Linked DNA regions of Macaca fascicularis. The main gene of each other region encodes a partner of the protein of the gene in region 3 in a complex. Links are inferred from orthologs where the notes say so. Each region holds a gene or a part of one and is shown on either strand. Other genes may lie near its edges.

What was found.
Region 1: SF3B5 (region 3) and SNRNP40 share a complex: the UniProt entries of both Homo sapiens proteins name them as parts of the minor spliceosome. The link is inferred for Macaca fascicularis from reciprocal best matches to the Homo sapiens genes SF3B5 and SNRNP40.
Region 2: SF3B5 (region 3) and SF3B2 share a complex: the UniProt entries of both Homo sapiens proteins name them as parts of the SF3B subcomplex of the 17S U2 SnRNP complex. The link is inferred for Macaca fascicularis from reciprocal best matches to the Homo sapiens genes SF3B5 and SF3B2.
Region 4: SF3B5 (region 3) and DHX16 share a complex: the UniProt entries of both Homo sapiens proteins name them as parts of the minor spliceosome. The link is inferred for Macaca fascicularis from reciprocal best matches to the Homo sapiens genes SF3B5 and DHX16.
Region 5: SF3B5 (region 3) and HTATSF1 share a complex: the UniProt entries of both Homo sapiens proteins name them as parts of the 17S U2 SnRNP complex. The link is inferred for Macaca fascicularis from reciprocal best matches to the Homo sapiens genes SF3B5 and HTATSF1.
Region 6: SF3B5 (region 3) and GPKOW share a complex: the UniProt entries of both Homo sapiens proteins name them as parts of the minor spliceosome. The link is inferred for Macaca fascicularis from reciprocal best matches to the Homo sapiens genes SF3B5 and GPKOW.
Region 7: the proteins of SF3B5 (region 3) and DDX42 are in contact, whole or in part, in a cryo-EM structure (PDB 7EVN), measured with the Homo sapiens proteins. The link is inferred for Macaca fascicularis from reciprocal best matches to the Homo sapiens genes SF3B5 and DDX42. Residues at the interface, in NP_112577.1 of Homo sapiens: Arg4, Tyr5, Thr6, Ser9, Gln10, His13, Leu14; in NP_031398.2 of Homo sapiens: Asp156, Ala159, Tyr160, Phe161, Tyr163, Met164, Asn167.

The regions. Positions count from the first base shown.
Region 1 is NC_088375.1:203,742,177-203,745,676, forward strand, and holds part of SNRNP40 (U5 small nuclear ribonucleoprotein 40 kDa protein), read left to right. Parts: intron 1-1,694; coding exon 1,695-1,777; intron 1,778-3,022; coding exon 3,023-3,084; intron 3,085-3,500. UniProt on the Homo sapiens protein: Required for pre-mRNA splicing as component of the activated spliceosome. Component of the U5 small nuclear ribonucleoprotein (snRNP) complex and the U4/U6-U5 tri-snRNP complex, building blocks of the spliceosome.
Region 2 is NC_088388.1:8,324,392-8,327,891, forward strand, and holds part of SF3B2 (splicing factor 3B subunit 2), read right to left. Parts: intron 810-3,500; coding exon 710-809; intron 604-709; coding exon 418-603; intron 80-417; coding exon 8-79; 3' UTR 1-7. UniProt on the Homo sapiens protein: Component of the 17S U2 SnRNP complex of the spliceosome, a large ribonucleoprotein complex that removes introns from transcribed pre-mRNAs.
Region 3 is NC_088378.1:48,298,912-48,301,503, forward strand, and holds SF3B5 (splicing factor 3B subunit 5), read right to left. Parts: upstream 1,187-2,592; 5' UTR 1,111-1,186; coding exon 850-1,110; 3' UTR 501-849; downstream 1-500. UniProt on the Homo sapiens protein: Component of the 17S U2 SnRNP complex of the spliceosome, a large ribonucleoprotein complex that removes introns from transcribed pre-mRNAs.
Region 4 is NC_088378.1:141,982,364-141,986,623, reverse strand, and holds the start of DHX16 (pre-mRNA-splicing factor ATP-dependent RNA helicase DHX16), read right to left. Parts: upstream 2,801-4,260; 5' UTR 2,633-2,800; coding exon 2,426-2,632; intron 2,307-2,425; exon of another isoform or gene 2,251-2,306; intron 1,016-2,250; coding exon 768-1,015; intron 685-767; coding exon 522-684; intron 186-521; coding exon 129-185; intron 1-128. UniProt on the Homo sapiens protein: Required for pre-mRNA splicing as a component of the spliceosome. Contributes to pre-mRNA splicing after spliceosome formation and prior to the first transesterification reaction.
Region 5 is NC_088395.1:142,629,579-142,633,864, reverse strand, and holds the start of HTATSF1 (17S U2 SnRNP complex component HTATSF1), read right to left. Parts: upstream 2,801-4,286; 5' UTR 2,598-2,800; intron 2,414-2,597; 5' UTR 2,353-2,413; coding exon 2,167-2,352; intron 441-2,166; coding exon 260-440; intron 1-259. UniProt on the Homo sapiens protein: Component of the 17S U2 SnRNP complex of the spliceosome, a large ribonucleoprotein complex that removes introns from transcribed pre-mRNAs.
Region 6 is NC_088395.1:49,285,877-49,290,069, reverse strand, and holds the start of GPKOW (G-patch domain and KOW motifs-containing protein), read left to right. Parts: upstream 1-1,393; 5' UTR 1,394-1,414; coding exon 1,415-1,590; intron 1,591-2,355; coding exon 2,356-2,510; intron 2,511-2,609; coding exon 2,610-2,734; intron 2,735-4,193. UniProt on the Homo sapiens protein: RNA-binding protein involved in pre-mRNA splicing. As a component of the minor spliceosome, involved in the splicing of U12-type introns in pre-mRNAs.
Region 7 is NC_088390.1:70,316,136-70,319,635, forward strand, and holds part of DDX42 (ATP-dependent RNA helicase DDX42), read left to right. Parts: intron 1-640; coding exon 641-688; intron 689-1,200; coding exon 1,201-1,298; intron 1,299-2,061; coding exon 2,062-2,338; intron 2,339-3,500. UniProt on the Homo sapiens protein: ATP-dependent RNA helicase that binds to partially double-stranded RNAs (dsRNAs) in order to unwind RNA secondary structures. Unwinding is promoted in the presence of single-strand binding proteins.

The DNA.
Region 1 (3,500 bases), on a different chromosome or scaffold from region 3:
AAAGCATTGGTGTGGGAAGAAGTCTTCATTAAAACATTCTGTATTTACACAAACACACACTTGCTTTTTCTCTTTACTTGTTTTTGAGTTGTAGGGTGGGAGGATGGGTCACTATAGAAAAAAAGTAAGGTGACTTGCTGGATTATATGCTTAATGTTGAGGGAGTTTGGAAATGGCCCTGGTATACAAATTTATAGGCTTGTCAGGAACTAAAATGTACTCCCTGATATTTTGTAACAAAAACAATACCTGACATTCGTTGGCTACTTAATAAATATTTGTTGAATGAATGGAAATCTTTATCTTTTGACTGTATTCTCAATAGCAAACGTTCATTCATAGCTTTGCCTTTTTATGCCTGCCTGACTCTAAGGATTGATAATACTTTTTTCATACTCAAATAAAATGACATCACTGAAATTCCACTACAGGTATAGCGTCAGTTACGACAGCTATAGCTACTGCTTACAATAGATGTTTATACACACATAATCTAGCATTAAAAAATTTTTTTCCCTTAATTTTTTTTATAAGACAGGATCTTGCTGTGTTGCCCAGGCTGGTCTCAAACTCCTAGGCCCAAGCAAGCCTCCCAAGTACCATGCCTAGCTAATTCTAGCATTCTTTATAATGAGGAACAATGAGGTTTCCTAAATTGATATTAAAATAAGGAAAAAATAATAGAATAATTTCTTATGGCTGCATAATAAAATTATAAATTCTTTATTTTTGTTTGTTGCCTACAAATTTTCTTTAAAATAGTGTTATTGGCTGGGCGGAGGAGATCACCTGAGGTCAGGAGTTCGAGACCAGCCTGGCCAACGTGGTGAAACCCCGTCTTTACTAAAAATACAAAAATTAGCCAGGTGTGGTGGTGGGCGCCTGTAATCCCAGCTACTTGGGAGGCTGAGGCAGGAGAATCACTTGAATCCAGGAGGCGGAGGTTACAGTGAGCCAAGATTGTGCCCCTGTACTCCAGGCTGAGCAAGAAGAGCGAAACTCCATCTCAATCAATCAGTCAATAGTATTATTTAAAAAAGAAGACAGATAATTTTCTCTTCATTTTACGGAACAGGAAAACCAAGACACAAACAATCTCACTGTTTACCTGACATCACCCAAATATGCAACAGAGCTAGAATTAGAATCAATGTTTACTTTTTCTGATTTTTGGTATGGTACAGTGCTCTTGATTTATTTAACCTTTTATATATTTTATATATATATCTGACCTTGTTCAGTTTTAGACTCTCAGGTGCCTATATGAGGGAAATTAGGAAAGGGCAATGTAAGGTTGGTTTTTATAAGTTCATTGTCACAGTAGTTCATGGTATTTAGTTTGTCACATTGAAGCTTTGCTGGATGTGACTCTAAGCTGGCAGAGAAATCTTGCAAAGTATCTTTTTGAAATTAGTATCACACCCAGCTGCATTCTGTTGTAAATTACCAACATTGAGTGTGACATTTTTCCTTCCTGCCTCCTCAGCTAGCCCCAGTTATTGGGATTTAGATGTATTTTCCTGCTTGAAAAAGAGAAGAGCCTTAACAGGTAGCAGTGTGTCGTGTTGGACTTCGCCTATCCAGGAAACAGCATCTGTCATTGATTGACGTGATACTAATTTCAGCTGGGTGCCCACGAGGCCTCTGACCGATAGTTGTTTTGGTTGGTTTGTTTATTTGGATTTGTTTTGCAGTTCGTGTCTGGGATGTCCGGCCATTTGCCCCCAAAGAGAGGTGTGTAAAGATATTTCAAGGAAATGTGCACAACTTTGAAAAGGTGAGTTCTGCTTGGCAGAGGAGTTTTACTGTTCATTTACTTCAGAGAAACATTTAAGGTGGTACTAAGGATAGAGAGCAGTAGCTCTGCTAAGAATGGACTTCATTCCTGTAACACTGCTCTTAATCAAAACTTGTTGCCAAAAATAAAGCTAATAGAAATAATAGTGACTGGGGAGAAGCCAGTCACATAGCCCAAAAGGAATGGAGCCAGCCCTCAAACTGAGGGCATCTGACTTGACACCACCCTCAACAGGACACTCCTGGCCTTTTAATTACTTGTAAATTTTACCCTCCTAAATCAGTTTTCCATATGGAACCCAAGCTCCCATAGCTGTTACCCGGATGGTCTCCCTACCTGCCTCCCCATCCTGTGACCACGTGTTTTAGAATCCTAAGAATACATCTCTCCCCTCAGTAACTACCACGGCCCAAGTTCTGAGAGAGAAAATTTTTTTCAAACCCTCAAATTTCAAGGTCAGCTCTATTGAAAGAAGCTTTTCCCCTGAGAGAATTTGTTAATAGAGATTAATTTTTTTTTTTTAAGAGCTCATTGAGATTCAGTTTCACTGTATAAATCAAATTTTATTTTTTGGACCTGGCACAGTGGCTCACAGCTGTAATCCCAGCACTTTGTGAAGTCAAGGTGGGAGGTCAGGAGCTAGAGACCAGTCAGGGCGACATAGTGAGACCCTGTCTCTACAAAATATAAAAAATCTGGTTGTGGTGGCATGTGCCTGCAGTCTCAGCTGCTTGGGAGGCTGAAATGGGAGGATCACTTGGGCCCAGGAGGTCAAAACTACAGTGAGCTATGATTGTGCCACTGTACTCCAGCTTGGACAACAGAGCAAGACCCTATCTCAAAAAAAAAAAAACAAAAAAACCCCAAAATTTATTATTTGTTGGGTTTGTGTGTATTTTTCTTAAAGATAGTTAGGGAAAAAAAAAAGAATAATGAGTATCAAGATAAATGGAGCAAAGGGAACCTCCATTTATAAGTAGAACAAAATTTTGTTGTCAGGTTCAATCTAATTAACTGTAAGTTAAGCATTTTCTACAGTTTTTATATGGTGTAAAATAACAAAGTATGCTATTTTGAGCATAGAATATAAGATAATTACTGACCATCTTCCTGAGAAGAATAATTAAAACTCTACTTAGGAAATGTAAAGCCTCTCAGTGATTCTGCAGCCTTGCAAAGAGGAGTTTGGTATATTACTATTCAGTGGATTCTTATTTATTATAGAACCTTCTGAGATGTTCTTGGTCACCTGATGGAAGCAAAATAGCAGCTGGCTCAGCCGACAGGTAAGGATTACTGGGTGCAAAGTAAAGAATGATGTAGCTGGCCAGATGTGGTGGCTCGCGCCTGCAATTCCAGCACTTTGGGAGGCCGAGGCGGGCGGATCTCCTGAGGTTAGGAGTTCGAGACCAGCCTGACTAACATGGAGAAACCCCATCTCTACTAAAAATACAAAATTACCTGGGCGTGGTGGCACATGCCTGTAATCCCAGCTACTTGGGAGGCTCAGGCAGGAGAATCACTTGAACCCGGGAGGCAGAGGTTGTGGTGAGCCGAGATCGCACCATTGCACTACTCCAGCCCGGGCAGCAAGAGCGAGACTCCATCTCCAAAAAAAAAAGAATGATGTAGCTATGCAGGATGTCTTCTTGTGTTTGATACATAAAGCGTGGATATGGAGCTAGAGCAGACATAGAGTTAT
Region 2 (3,500 bases), on a different chromosome or scaffold from region 3:
AGGGGACCTAAAACTTGAACTCTTTGTATTTCTTGCTGCCCCCACGGCTGTCCTGGGGCTGAGCTTTCCGTTTCTTTTGCTGCATAGGGAGAAAGAGACACAGGTTATAACAGGTTGAACCACCCCCAGACCCCCAAAACAAGGGTGGGCAGCCTGACATAGACATAGAAGTCTGTGGGAAAGGTGCTGAATCTGGATTCTCTTCGAGCTCCCTCTCAGACTTGGCTGAGTTCCTCCCCCTCATCGTCCTTAAAGAGGGCAGCCCACTGGAGGATTTCTAAGACTTCCAAATCTAAGCGCACAGGGCAGCAAGCAGAGGCCACCCTCACTCTCACCACTAGAGGGCACCACACCACTGAAAACGGCAGGCCAGGGTCCCTGGCTCTCACCCAGCCCAGCGCCCCTGGAAGCGCCTACCTTCTGTTTGGCAGCATGCTCAGCCACCATGTCGCTGAAGTCCTCCTTCTCTACTTGAGCCTGCTGCTCCCGCACATGCTCCTCATACTTCTGGGTCATGGCCATAGGATCAAGCTCCAACTCCTCAGGCGCCAGCGCCACTTCCACACCTTGCAGTTCAGGAGCTGGGCCCTTCCGGCTCATAACCTGGAAAGGAGATCAGGGCCTTGTCACCTCCAAAGAGAGTCAGAGAAGCCCTAGCTTCTGCCGCCCTTCTCAGCCTCCAAAAGCAGTATGTCCTCCAAGTACTCACCGTGGACATATCATAAATGTGGGTTGATCCCATCATGGCTCCCCCAACAGTGGCTGTTCTCTTCTCTGGCAACACGGTGAAGAGCTGAGGTGTCTCACTTCTGTGAAGGACAATGGGATCAGGCCCAAAAAGGAAGGGACAAAAGGGTCTCCAGAAGCAGAAACAAAAGATACAGGTGGCACCTCCACTCAGCGCCTTGGAGAGCTTCTGAGCTCCCCAAGGATGCAGCCTCTGCAGTTCATGGAAGCCCATGACAGAAAATAATTGGGCAGGGGGAAGGGGAGGGTGGCACAGTGCTGACTCCAGGGAACACAGATGGAGCTAAGGGGCCCCCTAAACCAAGTTAGGGGATCACAGACCAGGACTCCCACATGTACAGAAGGGTCAAAAGGTCAGAGAGGCTCAAAGTTTCCAAGAGAACTTTGGTACAGAGAAGCTAGCAAGAGAGAGCAGGTGACAACAGTTCCCACCCGAAGAATGTCATGCCTTGAGTTCTCATGTACGTAATTCACACTTCAGGCCTTCCGACGCAAGAGCCATCCACAGCCAGTTTCACCACTAATTTCAAGGATTACACTAGGAATAAGAGCACCTCTACCACTATTACCCCAGACTGTGTCCATCATCTCCACCTCTCCCACTGGAAGAGGTGACAATCTATTCTCCACACAAGAGCCAGAGAAAATGGCTTAAAATGGATTGCAGGTCCTGTCAGACCTTTGCTCAAAACCCTCTGAGGCTTCTGATCATTATCTGAATAAAATCTAAACTCCTTACCATGACCTAAAGGGTTCATAGCCTGATCCCTTACCCAAGCCCTCCTCACTATACTCTGTCCACAGTACCCTTCTTTATTTTTCTTCCTTGAATATGCAAAGCTTGAGACTTCTGCTTCCTGACAAGGAGCAACAGGAACCAGATACACCCTCCTGCCTGAAACAACCAAAAAATGGGCAAAATATATGAAACAGTGGTTTTCAAGACACTAGACATGGGGCAACAAAGCACAGTGATTCCTGCAAGATAGGAAACAAATGCAATGAGCCCTTCAACTGCCCCAGCATACTGCACCAAGAGTTTGCAGGCCACAGAACAGAGGGAAGACGCATGGAGAGCCCTGAGGACTCCATGAGTTGGGAGGATGAAGCTGAAAGTCCAGGGAGATCAAGGCAGCTAGAGTTCACAGGATAGAGTACTGAAGAAAAGAGCTGAGAGAGAACTCAAGAGACCTAGAGAAGGTCCTCAAGTATGCAGGGGAGTACTAAGCAGCACATGCCTACCAAGGACAGGGAAAGAAGCACCCGAAAGGATTCGTAACAGCACCTGCTGCTCACTCAGAACTGGGAATAGTGCAACTCCCACTAGCCAGACGGAAAAACCTCCTGATTCACAGGGCGGTGGGTAGAGTCCACAGGCACTTGTGCCTCACAGTGGGGAGGACTGCTTCAGTCCTGCCTCAAGAACCCCAAAAACAAGACCTGAAAGGATCAAACTAGCTCCATATAACTATATTCCTGAATGAGCTGAAGAAAATCTACAGGAATACAAAAATATCATGGACCCAACAAGGTAAATTTCACAAAGCCTAGCATTCAGTAAAAAATTACCAGGCACTGGACAGGTCTGGTGGCTCACACCTGTAATCCCAGCACTTTGGGAAGCTGAGGCAGGAGGACTGCTTGAGCTCAGAAGTTCAAGACCAGCCTGGGCAACACAGTGAGAACCTCTCTCAAAAGAAAAAAGGAAAAGAAAAAAAAATTACCAGGCATGCAAAAGAGTAGGAAAATACAATCCATATGAGAAAAATGAATCCACTAATGGCAATCAACCCAGAAATGGCACAGATGTTAGAGTTAGCAGACAATACATTAAAATGTTGTTACAGCCAGGTGTGGTGGCTCATGCCTATAATCCCAGCACTTTGGGAGGCTGAGACAGGCGGATCACCTGAGGAGTTCAAGAACAGCTCGGTCAACATGGTGAAACCCTGTCTCTACTAAAAATACAAAAAAAGTAGCTGGGTGTGGTGGCACACACCTGTAGTCCCAGCTACTTGGGAGGCTGCGGCACAAGAATCGCTTGAACCTGGGCAGCAGAGGTTGCCATAAGCCGAGATTATGCCACTGCACTCCAGGCTAGGCAACAGGGTAAGACTCCATCATAAAATAAAATAAGATAAAATAAAAATAAAATATTGTTATAACTGCATTCCACATGTTCAAAAAGTTAAGAGAGAAAGAATAGATTTAAAAGACCTGAAATCAAACTTCTAGAAAGGAGAATTATATTGTATGGGATTACTGTTAGACCAGAAATTACAGAAGAAAATAATAGTAAACTTGAACACATAGCAATAGAAATTTTCTAAAGTGAAATACAAAGAGAGAAGAATTTCTTTAAAAATGAAAAGCATCGGCCGGGCGCAGTGGCTCAAGCCTGTAATCCCAGCACTTTGGGAGGCCGAGACGGGCGGATCACGAGGTCAGGAGATAGAGACCATCCTGGCTAACACGGTGAAACCCCGTCTCTACTAAAAATTACAAAAAAATAGCTGGGCGAGGTGGCGGGTGCCTGTAGTCCCAGCTACTCGGGAGGCTGAGGCAGGAGAATGGCGTGAACCCGGGAGGCAGAGCTTGCAGTGAGCCGAGATCCGGCCACTGCACTCCAGCCTGGGCAACAGAGCAAGACTCCGTCTCAAAAAAAAAAAAAAAAGAAAAATGAAAAGCATCAGTGAGCAGTGGGACAACTTAACAGAGGAATAAGGTGAGAGGAAAGAGAAGGGAACAGAGAA
Region 3 (2,592 bases):
GCATCTTCTAACATTTACTTATTACGTCTACAGTGTTTGACCTCCTTTCTCCACCACCAGCATAATGTAAGCCTCAAGACCATGGGAAAATGCCTGTCACATAGAGCTCAACAAATATTTGTTGAATATAGAAAGGATGAACTCACTTGCCAGCTTGTCATTTCTGGAGACATGGCCACAAATTCCCAAGAAAAAGAAAGGATGCATTTTAAAGAGGCTAAGGAGGACAATGACAGCAAAGACTGCAAAGACTTTTAAAACGGGAGAAAAAGAAAATGGGATACAATAACCACAAACTTCAATACTGAAGGCATTGTGGGCCTGAAAATAACGCTCTTGGGAGAAGTGGCAGTCGGGGAATTAATTATAATGGTAGACAGGGTGGATTTAAGTACCTGATCATGGACACTGGCATGCACTCCCTCCCCCGACCCATTTCCCGCTCGGGTCTTTCAGGAGCCCTCCACCCTAACACAGGAAGTTCACACCAAGAGAGTGAATGATTTCTAAACTTTATGGAAAAAGCCAATGACAATCAATTAGCCAAAAATGAGACGCCAAATCCCATCTCATTCCAGCGCCACGCCCTCTTCTCAAACGCTTGCCGGCTCTAGGCCCTCTTCACCAACACAGTTCTCAGGGGTTCTGCTGGTCTCCCAGTGCTATTCCAAAGGGTTCACATGAAGGCAGGTCAGGCGGGATTCCCCGGGCAAGCACTTCTGTACGCGGAAGTACCAGACGCAGGAGCCATGGAGAGCCGGTCCTTTGGAGGCAGAAATAGTCGAAGGGATTGGCCAACCTGAGGAACACTGGGAGAGGTGCCCCGCACAGTGGTGGTAAGGCAGAGTCTCAGTTCTCCTCGGGCTTGTCGGCTGGCGGTCCACAAGGCTGAAGCATCTTCTCCATCAAATTGAAGCGGACTCGCGCTTTGCTCTCATTCTCTGCAATGGCGAAGTAGTTGAGAAGGTCGAAGTGGCCCATGTAGGAGCAGTACGAGTCGCGGTGTTGGTTCACCAGCCACTCCCACTTGGTGGTGTCGGCGTGGCCCGTGCCGATGTACTTGGACTGCAGGTGCTCCAGCTGGCTGTGGATGGTGTAGCGGTCCGTCATCTCGCCGCTTTCCCCTTAGTTCCCAGGACAGAGGACGCAGACAACAAATCGCCGCTCTGGCGTTTCACGCGGGAGTGAGGCCACCGTGCGGAAGCTCCCGGCCCGCGCCGTCGCAGAAGAATGGCGTCACGACGACTAAGTAGCGTAAGTCTCGCTCATAGGGCTCAAAGGCGGAAGCGGAAGCACATTCTGTCACGGAATTGGAGTTGCCGAGGCGACGCCACAAGTGTGTCGCCCCTGTAGAGAGCCCCGCCCCGTCAGAGAGCTTTGCATGATGGTCCACTTGGTGGCTATGGGAAGCCCTTTTCCAACAGGGAGCCTTGCATGCTGGGACTTGTGGTCTTGGGAGTTCGTGCTCGTAGGCTTCTGGAACTCCTGGTCTCGTTTTGTTGTTTGAGACAGAGTCTCGCACTGTTACCGGGACTGCAGTGTAATGGCGCGATCTCGATTCACTGCAACTTAACGCCTCCTGGGTTCACGCGATTCTCCTGCCTCAGCCTCTCCAGTAGCTGGGATTACAGGCGCACACCACCACGCCAGGCCAATTTTTTTTTTTTTTTTTTTTTTTTTTTTTTTGTATTTTTAGTAGAGATGGGGTTTCACTGTCTTTGCCTGGCTGATCTCGAACTCCTGATTTCGTGATCCTCCCTCCTCGGACTTCCAAAATGCTGGGATTACAGGCGTGAGCCACTGCGCCAGGCCCCTGGTCGCGTTTTAAAAGTGATCTGGGGACCTAGTGGAGGGTGATGTCTGGGAGGTGGGGAGCATCCGTGGGTGGCTTGGGGCTGATGGGAAATGGGAAACCCAAGTAGGACTGGACTACAAGCAGCCCCGAAAATAAACTCTCCCTGTTTTCCAAAGCTATCATGGTAGCACAGCCATCCCTTCACAACCAGGGATGGATTTCCCAGAAGTCGGCAGGCACAAGTTCTGGTCCCAGCTATGTCTCTTAGGAGTCTGTGGCATAAAAGAGTTATTTCAGCTCTAACCAGGGTGCTTGGTGAGCAAGTACAGCACCAATTCCCACACATTCCGGCTTCCACCTCAAGCTCCTCCTTCCTCTCTAGCCACTTATTTTGATATCCTTCCTCCAAGGCCTCACTGCACCCTACTTGGCCCTTCCATTCAGTGGGTTTTGTGGATTCAACCGACCCGATTGAAAATATTTGGGGAAAAAGTCAGTCTGTACTGAAGTGTAGACTTTTTAAGGTTATTATTCCCTAAACAATACAGTATAACAACTATTTACATAGCATTTACATTGTATTAGGTATTGTTAAATAATCTGGAGACAAACTATACAGGAGAATGTGCATATGTGCAAATACAAGCCATTTTATATCAGGGACTTGAGCATCCTCTAGTTTTGGTATCCATGGGAGTCATGGAACAAATCACTCACGGATACTGAGGGACAACTGTACTTCTCCGTGTTACCTGTTGTGCCCATACCCATTTTCTTGTACAAGCTGTTCCCTCTAC
Region 4 (4,260 bases), about 94 Mb from region 3:
AGACCTGACCACTCCATCAGCATCCACACCGTGCTTCCTCTGTATTCTCTCTCCCTATACGTAACCACTCTATCAGACGGTCTTCCCTTTTGTCTTCTGATCTTGGGTCCCTGGGCCCTGGGACTCACCATGGCCTTCCGGTCTTCCTCGGCCATCTTGAGGCGCTTCTGAGCTTCTTCATAAGCCTAGAAAAAAAAAAAACAAGAATAGAGGGGTGTGAGGCCAAAGAGCCCCCACACTGACAGCTGCTCCTCTTTAGAATCACAAGGATCATTCAGATGTACCCTAACACAAAAAATGTCCCCTCTCAGTGAGGGATCTGTATGATTGCAGGTACAGTAGAGTTGCCTTAGCCACAGGATGCACAGGGCTTCTCTCACCTCATCTCTCCCCACAGAGGGGAACATCTCACTAGAGAAAGCCCCTTGTCTTCCCAGAGATCACCATCTCTGCAATCACAGCCAACCTCACATTTCACCCTGGGATCTTGGGGATTTACAGAACGTGCTGCTCCTGTTCACCTTCTTGTCTGACCGCTCCAGGACATTTCGAGTCCGATCCTTGTCCCGCTGTCGAACCCTCTCAGCAAAGGCATCACGCTCCTCCAGGTCCTGAAGGCGCTCACGCTCTGTCCGTTCCCACTCATCTTCTGACTCTGGCTTCTCTGTCTGCTGTTTACTCCCCCTGCAGCCCATCCAGGGGATTAAATAAGGGCATTGAGCACACTTCAGCCTGCCCCATCCTCCCTCGCCCTGCTTCTGACTTACCCTGTTTTCTTCTTCCCTTTCTCAGAAGCCTCTTCCTCCTCTTCTTCCTCCTCTTCCTCACGCTTCTTCCTGAGGTGTTTCCGCTTTTTACGTTTCTTCTGGAGGCTGCTTCCAGCCCTACTCACAGTCTCCTCACTGCTCTCTTCACTGTCTTCCAACAACCTATAAGATCGGTTCTTCTCCAGCAGGGCTCGGGCCTCTCGCTCTGCTGCCCGCGCTGGCTTTTCTACCACTGCCTTTCGTGGTACCTGTCAGTAGAGGGGAAGATAAGGAGGTCTGAGCAACTCCTGATCTCTGCCCTCCCACTTAGCTCTAGCTCTGTTCCTAATTTAAGCAATTACTTAGTCTCCCCCCGCCCGCCGAGATGGAGTCTTGGTCTGTCACCCGGAGCTGGAGTGCAATGGTGTGATCTCGGCTCACTTCAACCTCCACCTCCTAGGTTCAAGCAATTCTCCTGCCTCAGCCTCCCAAGTAGCTGGGATTACAGGCGCCTGCCACCACACCTGACTAATTTCTGTATTTTTAGTAGAGATGAGGTTTCACCATGTTGGCCAGGTTGGTCTCAAACTCCTGACCTCATGATCCAGTTGCCTGGGCCTCCCAAAGTGCTGGGATTACAGGCGTGAGCCACCGCACCCGGGCACAATTACTTAGTTTTAAACCAGCTAACCAGCCTTCATTCTGTCTTCCTCATGGCTTCACCCCATGTTTATCATCCTGAATGGGGCCCACAGCTTTTTGGCTTTTTTTACAGACAGGGTTTCACTCTGTCCCTCTTGGGCTCAAGTGATCCTCCCACCTCAGGCTCCTAAGTAGCTGGAAACACAGGTGCACACTACAACGCCCAATTAATTTTTAAATTTTTTGTAGGGAGGTTTCACTATGTTGCCCAGGCTGGTCTCGAACTCCTGGGCTCAAATGATCCTCCTGCCTCAGCCTTCTGGGGTGCTGGGATTACAGGTGTGAGCCACTGCACCGGGCCTCCTCTGTTAATTAAACGGCTGAAAGGAAGTTCAGAAGCTGAGGGGGGACGGGCAAGGTGGCTCACGCCTGTAATCCCAGCACTTTGCGGGGCTGAGAGAGGAGGACTGCTTGAGCTGAGGAGTTAGAGACCAGCCTGCGCAACACACCAAGGCCTCGTCTCTAAAAATAAAAATAAAAATAAAAGATATTAGCCGGGGGTGGTGGCGCATGCCCATAGTCCCAGCTACTGGGGAAGATGAGATGGGAGGGTCGCTTCAGCCAGGGAGATCGACGCTGTAGTGAGCCGTGATCTTATGACCGCACTCCAGCCTGGGCGACAGGGCGAGCGAGGCTGTGTCTCTCAAAAAAAAAAAAAAAAAAAAAAGGAAAGAAAGAAAGAAAAAGAAAGAAATGCAGAAACTAAGATCCCTACTGAATCGCAATCTGCATTTTAACAAGGGCCCTGGATGCATGTTAAGAGTTCGAAAAACACCGTTCTATTGCGTTTAACCCGACACACCTAAGCCCTCCTCAATCTTCTCCACTGAGCTGGGCGTCCAGCAGCTAGCACAGTACCTAGGCGACAACGGACAAAGAATAAGTGCTTGTGAACTGAGCTTTCTTAACTCCTCGATGGACCGTTAGGCCAGCCTCATCGGGACAAATCACAGGACCCCTCCCCACCCTGCCGACACCTTGTTCCAGAGTCTCAGGGCGAAGTCCCGGGCCGGTCCACTGAGATCCAAAGTATCAGTGTCTCGTAGGCGCTGCACGAACTCCTCGGCCGACGTGCAGCGCTGTGCAGTACCGATCAGGAACTGGGCGACGTGCCGCTCGCTCAGCCCCAACACCGAGTGCAGCTCGTCCTGAACCCAGCGCTCCAGCCCCGCCGGCGTCGCCATGGCGACCCACGCTCCCTGCTCCCAGCCCTGAAGCGTCGGGCAGCCCCGTTCACTGCTGGGCCGGTCGGAGGCCTGGAGCCCTCGGCTGGAGCCTCAGCTTCGCAAGGCGGCTACCTTGGGACCTCTAGGATCAATTTCCGACATCCCAAAGCCGTCGTCCGGTACCGCAAAGCCCGGAAGGGGCTGCACTTTTTCCGGCCTCTAAGCACTACGGTGGCCGAGCGAGTTCAAACCTCGCGGAACCATGCCTGAAAGTTCGGAGTAATTCTTTTTTCTTCATTTCCGCCTCTATCCAGTTTCTCTGACGCCCCCTGATGGTCAGTTCGTGAGTGCTTCCCTAACGCATTCATTCAACAAGTGAAATCAATTTAATGGAGGCCTAATGTGTGCTCATTGCTTTCCGTCGCTGGGATCTAGCAGAGGACAAATCAAAAGTTCCTTACCAAATTTACATTTTGCGGTGGGGGAGGGACAGGATACATAATAAATAAAGTATGGAAGTTTTATAGAGCCAAAAACTCTACAAAGTAAGGGACAACCGAAATTCTATTTCAGATTGGAAGATGGGGTCCATGCTCATGAAGCATATTAGCCGTGTTGGCCGGGCGCGGTGGCTCACGCCTGTAATCCCAGCACTTTGGGAAGCCAAGACGGGCAGATCACTTGAGGTCAGGAGTTCGAGGCCAGCCTGGCCAAGATGGCTAAACCCTGTCTCTACTAAAAATATAAAAATTAGCCGGGTGTGGTGGCGTGCGCCTGCAGCCCCAGGTACTCGGGAGGCTGAGGCAGGAGAATCGTTTGTACCTGCGAAGCGGAGCTTGCAGTGAACCGAGATCCCACCACTGCACTCCAGCCTGAGCGACAGAGGAAGACTCTGTCTCAAACAAACAAAAAAGTGACCTTTGCTAGGATTGGTTTGCCTGCAGCAGGAGTGAAGACAGGTCAGGCATAAGGGAAGACCTCTAGGCAGGAAGAAACTGGGGAACTGGGGAAAATTGTTAAAGACAAAATCTCCAAACTAAGGAACAGGCAAACTGTTTTCTGCATTTTTGCTAACATCTTGAGAAAATCACTGGTGGCTGCTTATTTAAAAGTAAGCAAGGCCAGGTGCAGTGGCTCTTCCTATAATCCCAGCACTTTGGGAGGCTGAGGCAGGAGGATCTCTTGAGAACAGGGGTTTGAGACCAGCCTGGGCAACATGGTGAGACCCTGCCATCTCTACAAAAAATTAGCCAGGTGTGGAGGTGTGCATCTGTAGTCCCAGCTACTCTGGAGGCTGAGACAAGAGAATCTTTTATTTTTTATTTTTATTTTTTTGGAGACGGAGTCTTGCTCTGTTGCCCAGACTGGAGTGCAGAGGCACGATCTTGGCTCACTGCAACCTCCGCCTCCCAGGTTCAAGTGATTCTCCTGCCTCAGCCTCTGGAGTAGCTGGGATTACAGGCGCAATAGGCACGTGCCATCACGCCCTGCTTACTTTTGTATTTTTAGTAGAGACGGGATTTTACCATGTTGGTCAGGCTGGTCCCGAACTCCTGACCTCATGATCTGCCTGCCTCAGCCTCCCAAAGTGCTGGGATTACAGGTGTGAGCCACCGCGCCGGGCCTGAGACAGGAGAATCTCTTCA
Region 5 (4,286 bases), on a different chromosome or scaffold from region 3:
AAGACCAAGATAAACTAACTCAAATCACTACCCAGCTTTCAAAGGATTTAAATCTTTTGACAAATAATTAGTTTTAGAGCCCTATCTGGGAAAAATGATGGCCAGTTTATCTTGATTCTTTATAACTCTGACACCACCTTTAAGAAAAAACTCACCTTATTCCTTCAAAGCTATTATAATTCTCGGAAAAGCAACTGTACATATGCACACCCATATTTTTAATTTTTACACTTAAAATTTGTAAGCCAGAACCACTTACCTGACTCAGCCTTTCTTTTTTCTCCCTTCTTTCTGGGATCAGTGGGTTCTGAGGCTTTTTCTTGTGGAGGTTCCTCTGCAGTTCTAGCATGGACATCTTCAACATTTGCGGTAGAACTAGATGCGCCATCATTAGAGAAGCCATAATTGGCCTGATATGTAGCAATGAAATCTTCAGTGATCTAAACAAGCAATTCAGCAGACCCAGACAGAGAAATTCAAAATTATTTCCACCCATAAGAAGTTTAAATTGTTTTTACAGCATGGTTACACAACTTAAAACAGAAGTGTTTCTGTGGATAATAGTTGTAGTTATTAGAGTATAAATGCAATAGTCATCTTATATAGAAAATTGTGCATGCGGTGATAAAAAATAAGACACGAGTACTTAGACGATCAATGCAAATGTCTGAGATATGATTTAAAGCATTTTAAGTGATGCTGGCACCTTTTCTAGTTGTTTCATTTATAAATTACTACCTCTCTACAGTCTACTTAACTAAGGCTACAAATACATACAACAAAGGAAGTACCAGATAATAAAACAATAAAAACCAACAGTCAATGAATAATCTAACCACAGAATCCACTTTTCTCTTACTGTACACATGCACAAATATACGTGTACAATAAGTACTTAAATATCTGTATGCAGAGAGCACGTAGAACAGAACTCTGACTTGGTATATAAAGAATGGAGTTAACAACTGTAAAACTAAATGCTCATTTTAACTTTATCACAAATTAAGACGTTATCTTTTAGTAACAGAACAAATTAAAGACAAATCCAACTCATATCTATCTTCCTCCCCTTTGGGGGAAAAGCGTTATTGCAAAACTAAAGAAATATAGTTATACCATCATACCAATCAACATTAGGCACGCATGGAATGGGGAAAATGTAAAACCCAAAGTTTGAAGAGGTATGGGCTTCAATAACATAAAAAGATAAAGTCACACATTAATCCATTATCACACCTTTGTTAAAAGTATTCAGAATGCTGAAGAAACCAAATCTGCACTCAAAACTAGTACTACCAATACAGAAGTGAAATCGTAAATTTTAACAATCTGGAGGCATTGGAATATGTATACAAATACAGAATGGGAAAGAAAAGTTGCAAAAGAATTTTTAAAACAGCCGTCCAGTCGCGCAATGGAGACAGGTTTTGTATTATTGGCTTGCAAGTCAATTTGCGTGCTACTAGTGTGCCCTTTCCTGCTCATGAGAGCCAGATTAAAAGGGCACTTTTACCACAAAGTTTACAGAACCAAGTTTAACATTACTTATTTTACTTCGAAGCTGAAATAAAAATACTTAGCAATTTCCAAGTACTCCAAACAAATATACACAGATATTTTCCATCTGTATTCTGTGCGTCTCCAGTCTTATTCCTGTGGTTATATGGTTCAAACATATATGCTTAGGGACAAAATTTGCTAGGAAAGTAAAGCAAGGTGCAAAGAAAGTTCAATTAGTAAAGATATGTAAACAGCTACTTTAAAAAAATCAAGAAACTGCATTTTGCACATAGTACATAAGCTAAACATCTGAGTTCCTAGGACAAGTGGGGTCGGCTACCAGAAATGGACAGCTACTAAATTTGCTCTTGGTGTTTTTCCTCTTCGCAATAAAAAGCAGTCATCAATGTAATTACCAACTGTGACCTTCACAGACAAGATTAATAAAGCATAGAAAAAACTTAAAAATTACATTTAAGACACCACCCTAAAGATTTACGTTCCTTCACACATCGGTGCCCCGACAAACACAACAAAAAGAAGCGCCGCTATCCAAGGGGGCTAGGACCAAGGACCAAGGATCTCAGCAAAGCAAACGTAAGAGGAGTGCTCCGCGAGGCTGGCCAGGCGACCCGCTCTGCAGTGGCGCCCGTGGCACTCTCCTACCTTGGGGAACCAAGCCTTCTTGTCCAGGTCCCACTCGTAGGGGGTGTCCGTCGGCTGCTGCCCGAGAGAATCGGTTTCTCCGCCGGCATCGGTCTGGGTGTCACCATCCTTGCCGTCTCCGTACAATTCTTGCATTCGCAACTGCTCATCAAACTCATCGTTCCCATCCAAGTTGCTGCCGCTCATGTTTCCTACTCAGCTCAGGAGAAGGGTTCAGAAGAACTAAGAGGCCGAAATGACGCTGGAGCTGAGCAGAAAAAGGGAGGTCAATCGCGCTCTGCTCGCGCCCCGCCGCCCCCCGGCCCGCCTCCCCGCGGCGCCCCAGCAGTCCCCGGGAAATCGGGGCCGCTCGGCTGCCGCACCGCCCCCTGCTCTGCCCGCCCACCGCGCGCGCGCGCTGATGCTGGGAGCTCGGCCGCGCCGCCGCCCACCTGGCTTGCTCCGCTGGGCCTCGGCACCGCCGCTAGGTCCAGGGCGCTGCGGGAGCGCGCAGGCGCGCCGCCGCCGCCGCCGCCGCCGCCGCCGACCGGGTCTAAGGCGACTGCGGCTCCCTCGGCAACGTCAGGATATTACTTGTAAACTAAGCCCTGCTCAGGCCAACGCAGCCGCCATTGTCGGCGCGTCGCGACGTCGCGGGTCGCGCCGACACGCCCACTGTGGCGTCAAAAGGCGCCGACGCCGGCACGCGGCGCGAGACCCGGGGAGGCGGGGCGCCGGAGAGGGGGGAGCGCTACTGCCGGGCGTCGACGCCCACCGGGTTCGGCCTTGGGGCGGGGCGAGGGCCACTGGGATCCCCTGACGCCTCAAGGGCCTTGAGGTCCGCGGGGTTCCCGGCGAATCGGCCGGCCCGGGAGGGAGACGGAAGGAAGGCGTGGGAATATTCCCTCGCGGAGGTGGCCGGGCGGGTGTCGCGAGGACGCCATCTTGGGGGAGTGGGTGGGGCGGGCAGGACAAATATCTCTGGCTTCGAGAAAACGACGCGCCTCCTTCGCCCAAAGGCCCCTCCCCCGCGCAGGAACCGTGTCTTTTACTTGTTTCTTTCCGACTCCCTGGGATGGACACCGGATATTGTTCTTCTTGGTGACCTAAGCTCCTGGCACCGGCTCTGGTGTCTAATGCGGAATGAGCGAATGAATGAACGAATGAGGGGTAAAAGGGCCAACTTTTTTTTTTCTGGTGTCAGCCTTCTCCTTTATCGGTCTCATACCTTCCTCTGGCTGGAGTTTGACTCCATGGGAAGGATGGGAGGGGCTGCAGTTGCCTGCCTCTTGTACTGCAGGATTCAGTGGCGCTCGAGCTGCGAACTTGAAACTTAGACATAAATGTAAACATCCCAGTGTAAACACCAGCTTTACTGGCCGGCAAACTCCGCTTCTTTGTCATTGTTTTAGAAAGACACAGCATACTTTTGTTCTAAACAGAACTTTGTTTTCAGGAATTACACTCATTGCTGAAAATGAAAAGGTCCATATTTTTAAGTTGGGCAGGTATTTATCCAGCCCCTACTAAGTGCAGGGTTCTGCACGAGGCTCTGGCGACCCAGGAGTCGACAAGACAGGCACAGCTCAGGGGAGACAGAATTAGGATGGTTGGCAAATGACAGATATGAGATGCTGGAGGACAGCAGTTCTCAAACTTTTTGGTCCCAGGTCCTCTTTACACGAAAACATTGAAGACCCCAAAAAACGTTTGTGGATTATACTTACCAATATTTCTGCACAAAAATTAAAGCGGCCGTTAAAAAATATTAATTCATTTAAAATAATAAGGAACTCATTAGTGTAACCATAAATATCACAACCCAGGCTTGAGGGTGGGGAAAACCTTCCCAGAAGAAATTATTTCACTATTCCAGTGACCTTCACTTCTAAACATAGCAGTTGAGTACTACTTCTAGAAAATCCTGGCTCCCCACGTACCAGCTGTGTGAATCTATGGTTTCAACGATAACAATAGTTTTTAATAGTTTGGGTTAGTTTTTCTAAATTATATTTCTTTTTCATGAAGTTCGCATCCTGGTAGGAACTCGGAGAACTGAATTTGTGTGCATTTTTATGATACAGGTAATGTGAGTTTTATTAGACTTAAACTTTGCTAAATATTTTTTCCTGGATCCAAAA
Region 6 (4,193 bases), on a different chromosome or scaffold from region 3:
CTTCCTTCCTTCCTTCCTTCCTTCCTTCCTTCCTTCCTTCCTTCCTTCCTTCCTTCCTTCCTTCCTTCCTTCCTTCCTTCCTTCCTTCCTTCCTTCCTTCCTTCCTTCCTTCCTTCCTTCCTTCCTTCCTTCCTTCCTTCCTTCCTTCCTTCCTTCCTTCCTTCTTTCTTCTTTCTTTCTTTCTTTCTTTCTTTCTTTCTTTTTCTTTTTTAAGACAGAGTCTCGCTCTGTCGCCCAGGTTGGAGTGCAGTGGCGGGATCTCGGCTTACTGCAAACTCTGCCTCCCGGGTTCAAGCAATCCTCCTGTCTCAGCCTCCTGAGTAGCTGGGACTACAGGTGCCACCACCAGCCCGGCTAATTTTTGTATTTTTAGTAGAGACAGGGTTTCACCATATGAGTCAGGCTGGTCTCAAAGTCCTGACCTCAGGTGATCCACCAGCCTAGGCCTCCCAAAATGCTAGGATTACAGGCATGAGCTACCACGCCTGGCCAGTAGGCACTTTATGTCTATTATTTACTATTGTAGACAACTGACACTCCTTCCCCCGCCCCCGACCCTGACTTTTTCTTTTTTAGAGACGGGGTATCGCTCTGTCACCCATGCTGGAATGCAGTGGCGCAATAAGAGCTAAGTGCATCCTCGAACTCCTGGGCCTCAGGCCATCCTCCTGCCTCAGCCTGTGGGCTAAATGAAACTACAGGTGCACGCCACCACACCTGGCTGATTATTTCTAAATGATTTACTTCATCAACACTTCCCACATGAGTAGGGCACACAGTAGGCGCTCCATAAATACTTGTCAAACGCCTACACGAAGGAATCAATGCCTGGCAAGAATGAATCCACCTTCCACCATGCCTACCTCGCTAAAAACTACATTTCCGGCCGGGCGTGGTGGCTTACGCCTGTAGTCCCAGCACTGTGGGAGGCCGAGGCAGGCGGATCACGAGGTCAGGAGATGGAGACTATCCTGGCTAACACGGTGAAACCCGTCTCTACTAAAAATACAAAAATTAGCCGGGCGTGGTGGCGCATGCCTGTAGCCTCAGCTACTCGGGAGGCTGCAGCAGGAGAAGCGCTTGAACCCGGGAGGCAGAGGTTGCAGTGAGCCGAGATCACACCACTGCACTCCAGCCTGGGCAACAGAGCAAGACTCCATCTTTAAAAAAAAAAAAGAAACAAAAACAAAACAAAACAAAAAAAACTACATTTCCCTGTGCACTTGGCGCGACGCACTCCCACGACGTTTGAAAGAGCGACAATTACTTCCCACGGCCCCTTACCGCCCCCTCCCGCCGGTGCCACAGTGGTTGATGGGAAGGTAGTTTTTACGCACTTTGGCCGGCCCCTAGCCATCTGAACCCAAACTAAATTTCCCAGCAAGCAGCGCGCAGGCCTGGGAAAAGGGGCAAGATGGCTGACTCCGAAGAGGGTGTTTTGCCGCTGACGGCTGCTTCCACTGCCCCAATTTCATTCGGCTTCACTCGCACGTCCGCACGGAGGCGGCTGGCCGACTCGGGAGACGGCGCGAGGCCATCTCCGGAGGAGAAGGATTTCTTGAAAACCGTGGAAGGGAGGGAGCTGCAGAGGTGACGCGCCGGGTCTTTCACACCTTGGAAATCGCTGCGGTGGGCGTAAGCGGGAGGGAGGAATCTCACTCAGTCGTTTGTCTTGGTGACAGTGACCTGTTAAGCCTGAAGCACAGCCTGAGTAAATTCGTGGAGGCCAGAAGGCTGGAGTTTATAAGAGGGGTGGGGAAATTGGGCCTGATAGCCGTGGGAATTGCGAAGAGAGGATGTATCACTGAGAAGAAGTGTCTTTAGGACTTGAGGACACTGAGGTGTGTGCGTTTTGGGAGAAGGAAAGAATGAGAAAATGACAGGACCTGCTAGTGTCTCAGCTGAAGTGGTGGGGCTTCTCTGATATGGGGAACGGGATGGAGCGGCAGATTCAGGTTGATGGAGGCCACCATCAGCTTAATGAGGAGAGGAGAGTCTGAGGGAGGGATTTCCAGAAGAGAATCAGGCATCTGGGAAGCTGTTTGGGAACCTGGAGCTAGGGAGGGTCTAGGCTGAAGATAGTGATTTGTGGGCCATTGTGGAAGCCGGTCTTGAGTTAAACAGAGAGTCCAGGACTTATTTCTCGAAGGCACTGACATTTACGAGTTGGGGGCACTGGGGGGGATAATCCAAAGAATGCACGATCAGAGAGGTACAGGAGATCCAGACATGGAGTAGAGAAGGCATGGTCTGTGGGGCTGGGGTGAGTTTGGCTCTCGTGTTTTCTCTGAATAAAGGAGTGTGACCCACTGACACTGCCATTCTCCCAACCCCACCCCTCTGTGTCCACATCAGTGTGAAGCCCCAGGAAGCCCCCAAGGAACTCGTCATCCCTTTGATCCAGAATGGCCATCGCAGGCAGTCACCAGCCCGGCCCCCTGGGCCATCCACAGATACTGAGGCCTTGGCAGATGGGGTGCTGTCCCAGGCTGTGAAGGAGCTCATTGAGGGTGAGTGATGCCCCTTTACCCTTCCCCAGTGAAGGAAGAAGATGAAGAAGGTGGAAGGATAGAGTGGGACTTCATTGCTCCCTCCTATTCTTCCCTTAGAATCCAAGAAGTCTCTGGAAGAGAGAGAGAATGCGGGTGTCGACCCCACGCTCGCTATCCCCATGATCCAGAAAGGATGCACCCCCAGCGGGGAAGGGGCAGACAGCGAACCCCGGGCAGAGACAGTGAGCTGGCCCCTTGTCCCCCTCCTGCCCCAGCCTTTCTTTGCCCTGTCTGCTAGGCTTTGTCCCTGCACATAGCAGGGAAAGTCTGTGTGCTAGAGGCCCGCCACCTGTCCTTTCTCCTGTCATCCTTTTTGGAAGCATTACCAAATGAATCTGGATATCTGGATGCTAAAAACGTACTTGAATCCTAGGATTATCTGAATGAGGTGTGCAGCAAAGGGAACAGGAAATGTAAAGGCCCTGAAGGTAGACACTGCCTAGAGTGTTTGCGGAACACCAAAGAGACTAGTGTGACTGAAGTGGAATGAGTGAGGGGAAGGGATAGTAGACGAAGTCAGAAAGGAGATGGGGGTGCTAGACAAGGCAGGGCCTTGTAGGCCATTGTGAGGACTTTGGCTTTTACTCTGAGTGGGATGAGAGCCTAGGCAAGCCCTGAGCATAGATGAAATATGATTTATGATTTGACAGCATCCCTCTGGCTGCTGTGAACAGACTCATTAGTGAAGGTGGAAGCAAGGGGATGAGTAGTCCAGGCTAGAGATGCTGGGGACTTAGACCAGAGTGGTCTGGAAGGATAAGTAGGGTTTAGTGAGAGGGAAGAACAGAGTGAGTGTTCCTGTTGGTAGTAACAGCCCAAGCAATGGCATAGTGGCAGAAAATCGATGTGGTGTGTGTCCATCAGTGAGGCAACATGTGGTGTGTCTGGAGTGAATGGGAAGGAGTGATGATGGAAGGTGACGAGGAGATGTGAGAGGCGTGTCTACAGGAGTAACCAAGTCTGTCTTTCATACCCACAGACCTGACTTTTCACCTCTTCTTTCATAAATTTCTTGCATTGCTTCTTTGGAGTCTAGTTCTCCTACAGCCCCAGAACACTCTCTTTCAACTGAACTGTTCTCTTCAGCCTTCAGATGTGCTCTGATTTCCTTCAACTTTTTTTTGTTTGTTTGTTTTTTGTTTTTTGAGACAGAGTCTTGCCCTGTGGCCCAGGCTAGAGTGAAGTGGTACGATCTCGGCTCACTGCAACCTCCCGCTCCCGGGATCAAGCGATTCTCCTGCCTTAGCCTCCCAAGTAGCTGGGATTACAGACACGTGTCACTACCGCCTGGCTAGTTTTTGTATTTTTAGTAGAAACGAGGTTTCGCCACGTTGGTCAGGCTGGTCTTGAACTCCTGACTTCAGGTGATCTACCCACCTTGGCCTCCCAGAGTGCTGGGATTACAGGCATGATCCACTGTGCCCAGCTCCTTCATCTTTAAAGAAAAAAAAGATCCTCACTTCCCTCTTCATCCTTTCATCCTGTTCCAGCTTTAACCTCATTCCTCTAATTTTTCCCTCTATAAACCTCCTCCTGCAGCTTTATACATATCAGGTGACCAAAAATTCCATCCATCCTTCCTCTCACTCAGCATAAAAACCTTGGAGTCGGCCGAGCCTGTAATCCCAACACTTTGGGAGG
Region 7 (3,500 bases), on a different chromosome or scaffold from region 3:
TCTCTGTCTTTATTTTTATTCATATGCCTTTGATCATAGAGGTTAAGGTCTGTGTACTTGGGTAGGTGAATGTCAGATGATTCGAGGCCCTTTGCTTTCCTATCCTCATAGCTGTCTTTACTGATTGGAACACTGCTAGACCTAGCCCAGTTGGATGGAGGGAAAATTTTTCACTTTTATACTGAACGATATGTCTAGGAGCTTCGTTTTTTTTTGAGACAGAGTTTCACTCTTGTTGCCCAGGCTGGAGTGCAGTGGTGCGATCTCACTACAACCTCCTCCTTCCAGTTTCAAGCGATTCTCCTGCCTCAGCCTCCTGAGTAGCTGGGATTATAGGCACCTACTCCACACCTGGCTAGTTTGTTTTTTTGTTTTTGTTTTTTTTTTTCGGTATTTTTAGTAGAGAGAGCTGCGTTGACCAGGTTGCAAACTCCTGACCTTAAGTGATCCGGTGATCCACCTGCTTCGGCCTCCCAGAGTGCTAGGATTACAGGCATGAGCCACTGCGCCCGGCCTGGGGTTTCTAATTTTCTTAATTCTTACAACTTCTTGTGAATACTTTTACTACAATGGCTTTTTCCAGGCTTCCCAAACTGTATTTCAGGTTATAATATTAATTTTATTGTTCTGCTTCTTCCAGAGTACCAAGTTCGATCCATAGCAAGTCATGTTCGTCCTGACAGACAGAGTATGTATGAAGCACCTTCGTTAAACCAAATTTGTACTAAAAAGGACACTTATTTATTTTATAAGCACTCAGAGTTATGGAAGTAAAAATGATCATGTGTGTATTGGTGAGAACCGTAACGAGGGAGGTAATGAGTTTATCTGAGCTGGACAGGATCTTAGCACTAGATATAACTTGTTCCTTTTTATAGATGATAAAAGCAAGCCTCAGAAATTAAATAAGCTGCCCAAAATTATACAGTTTTATCAGCGGGTAGAAGCAATGATCAGTACAGATCTGCTGATTTGAAATCAAGAGTCTTTTTCTGAACCATGCTGACAACTTGTCTTAACTAAAAATGTAATAAAAATAGAATAAGAGCAAATCTTTCTCTAGTGAATCAATTTTTAAACTAAATTTAAAGCTCAGGTGAGCTTATGTAAAAAAACTGAATAATCTTGAATGCCAAAGAAGCTTAATGGATATTCATAAAGATATACTGTTTCTCTAACAGAATTTATCTTATCTTGTAGCTCTCTTATTTAGTGCAACTTTTCGGAAAAAGATTGAAAAGTTGGCCAGAGACATCCTGATCGACCCTATTCGAGTGGTGCAGGGAGATATTGGAGAGGTAACCCTAAACAGGGCTGGATGGGACCTTAATGTGTTTATTTCTCATATTATGGAACACAGAATTAATTTCTCACTATTGAGATAAAAAAAGATGTTATGTTTATAGATGCAACATGCTTGAGATTTGGTATTTTGCAAGTTGTGGGGATACATGAAAGAGGACTGGCAAAATATTGGGAATCATAGAAGCTAGATGATGGGTACGAGTTGATTTTGTTCATTTTGCTTTTCTGTTTGTTTTACTGAATGTCTCAAAACTTTATAATTGTTTTAAAAAGGCTTCAAAGAGACAAAAAGATCTGCCTGGAAGCATACTACAGTGTGTTAGGTTGGAACTGACGTTTTAATTATTGTGGGAGGGGCCTACACAGGAGGGAAAGGGTGACCTGAAAGGCCTGGCAAAAATCAGGTTTCATTTCTTACCTGTACATATGCGCTATATGGAAAATTTCTCTGAATTGGGACTTGGAATTCAGTTATGGCTGCTTAAGAATCCTTCAGTTGCTTGCCATGGTTATTGTTAAGGAAAGCTCTAGAAAGTAGTGGGGCATACAAATTAGGTATATACACCAGGCGGAGAGCAAGGTGATTGAAAAGGAGAGGTGAGTTTTGAGCTGCACTTGACTTGCTGAAGGAAGGCCCAAGGAGAACTGGATTGTTGAAGGTCTTCTCGATGCAGGTAGAAAATACAATGCTAGTCCTTGTTTAGGTGGCCTGTGACTCCAATGTCACAATCATCTGTTTCATTTCTTCCTTCTCAGGCAAATGAAGATGTGACACAGATTGTGGAGATTCTCCATTCTGGACCTAGTAAATGGAACTGGCTTACCCGGCGTCTGGTAGAGTTTACCTCTTCAGGGAGTGTCCTCCTCTTTGTTACTAAAAAAGCCAATGCTGAAGAGCTAGCGAATAACCTTAAACAGGAGGGTCATAATCTTGGGCTGCTCCATGGGGATATGGATCAGAGTGAGAGAAACAAGGTCATTTCAGACTTTAAGAAAAAGGACATCCCAGTCCTGGTGGCCACAGATGTTGCAGGTAGAGTATGAATTTTTCAACAACATTAAGTTCCTAGGCTATAAGGGTACTCTGTCTTACTGTATAAGACGTGTAATATCTGAGCAGGCTGATGGAAAGACTATTGGCCTGACTGGCCATCCCCTCCCAAACCCCCAAGGAAGCAGCAGTTCAGCACAGGGATCACAGTCTGGAGCTCTAGACACCACTTTTCTTTTTTTTTTTTTTTTTTTTTTTTTTTTTTTTTTTTTTGAGACGGAGTCTCGCTCTGTCGCCCAGGCTGGAGTGCAGTGGCCTGATCTCAGCTCACTGCAAGCTCCGCCTCCCGGGTTCACGCCATTCTCCTGCCTCAGCCTCCCGAGTAGCTGGGACTACAGGCGCCCGCCACCTCGCCCGGCTAGTTTTTTGTAGTTTTAGTAGAGACGGGGTTTCACTGTGTTCACCAGGATGGTCTCGATCTCCTGACCTCGTGATCCACCCGTCTCGGCCTCCCAAAGTGCTGGGATTACAGGCTTGAGCCACCGCGCCCGGCCGACACCACTTTTCACTTAGTGTCTCTCTCTGATCAAAGAATCCCTGCAGCGGCTGGGCGCAGTGGCTCAAGCCTGTAATGCCAGCATTTTGGGAGGCCGAGACGGGCGGATCACGAGGTCAGGAGATCGAGACCATCCTGGCTAACACGGTGAAACCTCGTCTCTACTAAAAAATAGAAAAAAGTAGCCAGGTGAGGTGACAGGTGCCTGTAGTCCCAGCTACTCAGGAGGCTGAGGCAGGAGAATGGCCTAAACCCGGGAGGTGGAGCTTGCAGTGAGCTGAGATCCGGCCACTATACTCCAGCCTGAGCGACAGAGCAAGAATCTGTCTCAAGAAAAAAAAAAAAAAAAAGAATCCCTGCAGCTAGAAGTCACTGGGGGAAAAAAGGCAATGAATGCCCTTATTGTATGTCTGAATATAGTAGATATCTTACATTGATCTACTATACACAGCTTAGTTGGGCAACTTCACTCAGGATGAGAACAGTTTTTGGAATATTATTTCTGCTTTGTTCTGTCAAGTTTTAATAACTACCCTTAAACACTGATATTCCCAGAAAGGAGAGAACTTCTCAGCTTCATGACACATTTTAAAAATATATTCCCAGTGCAAGAGAAGAGGGCATGGCAGATTCTTGATGCAAAAGATA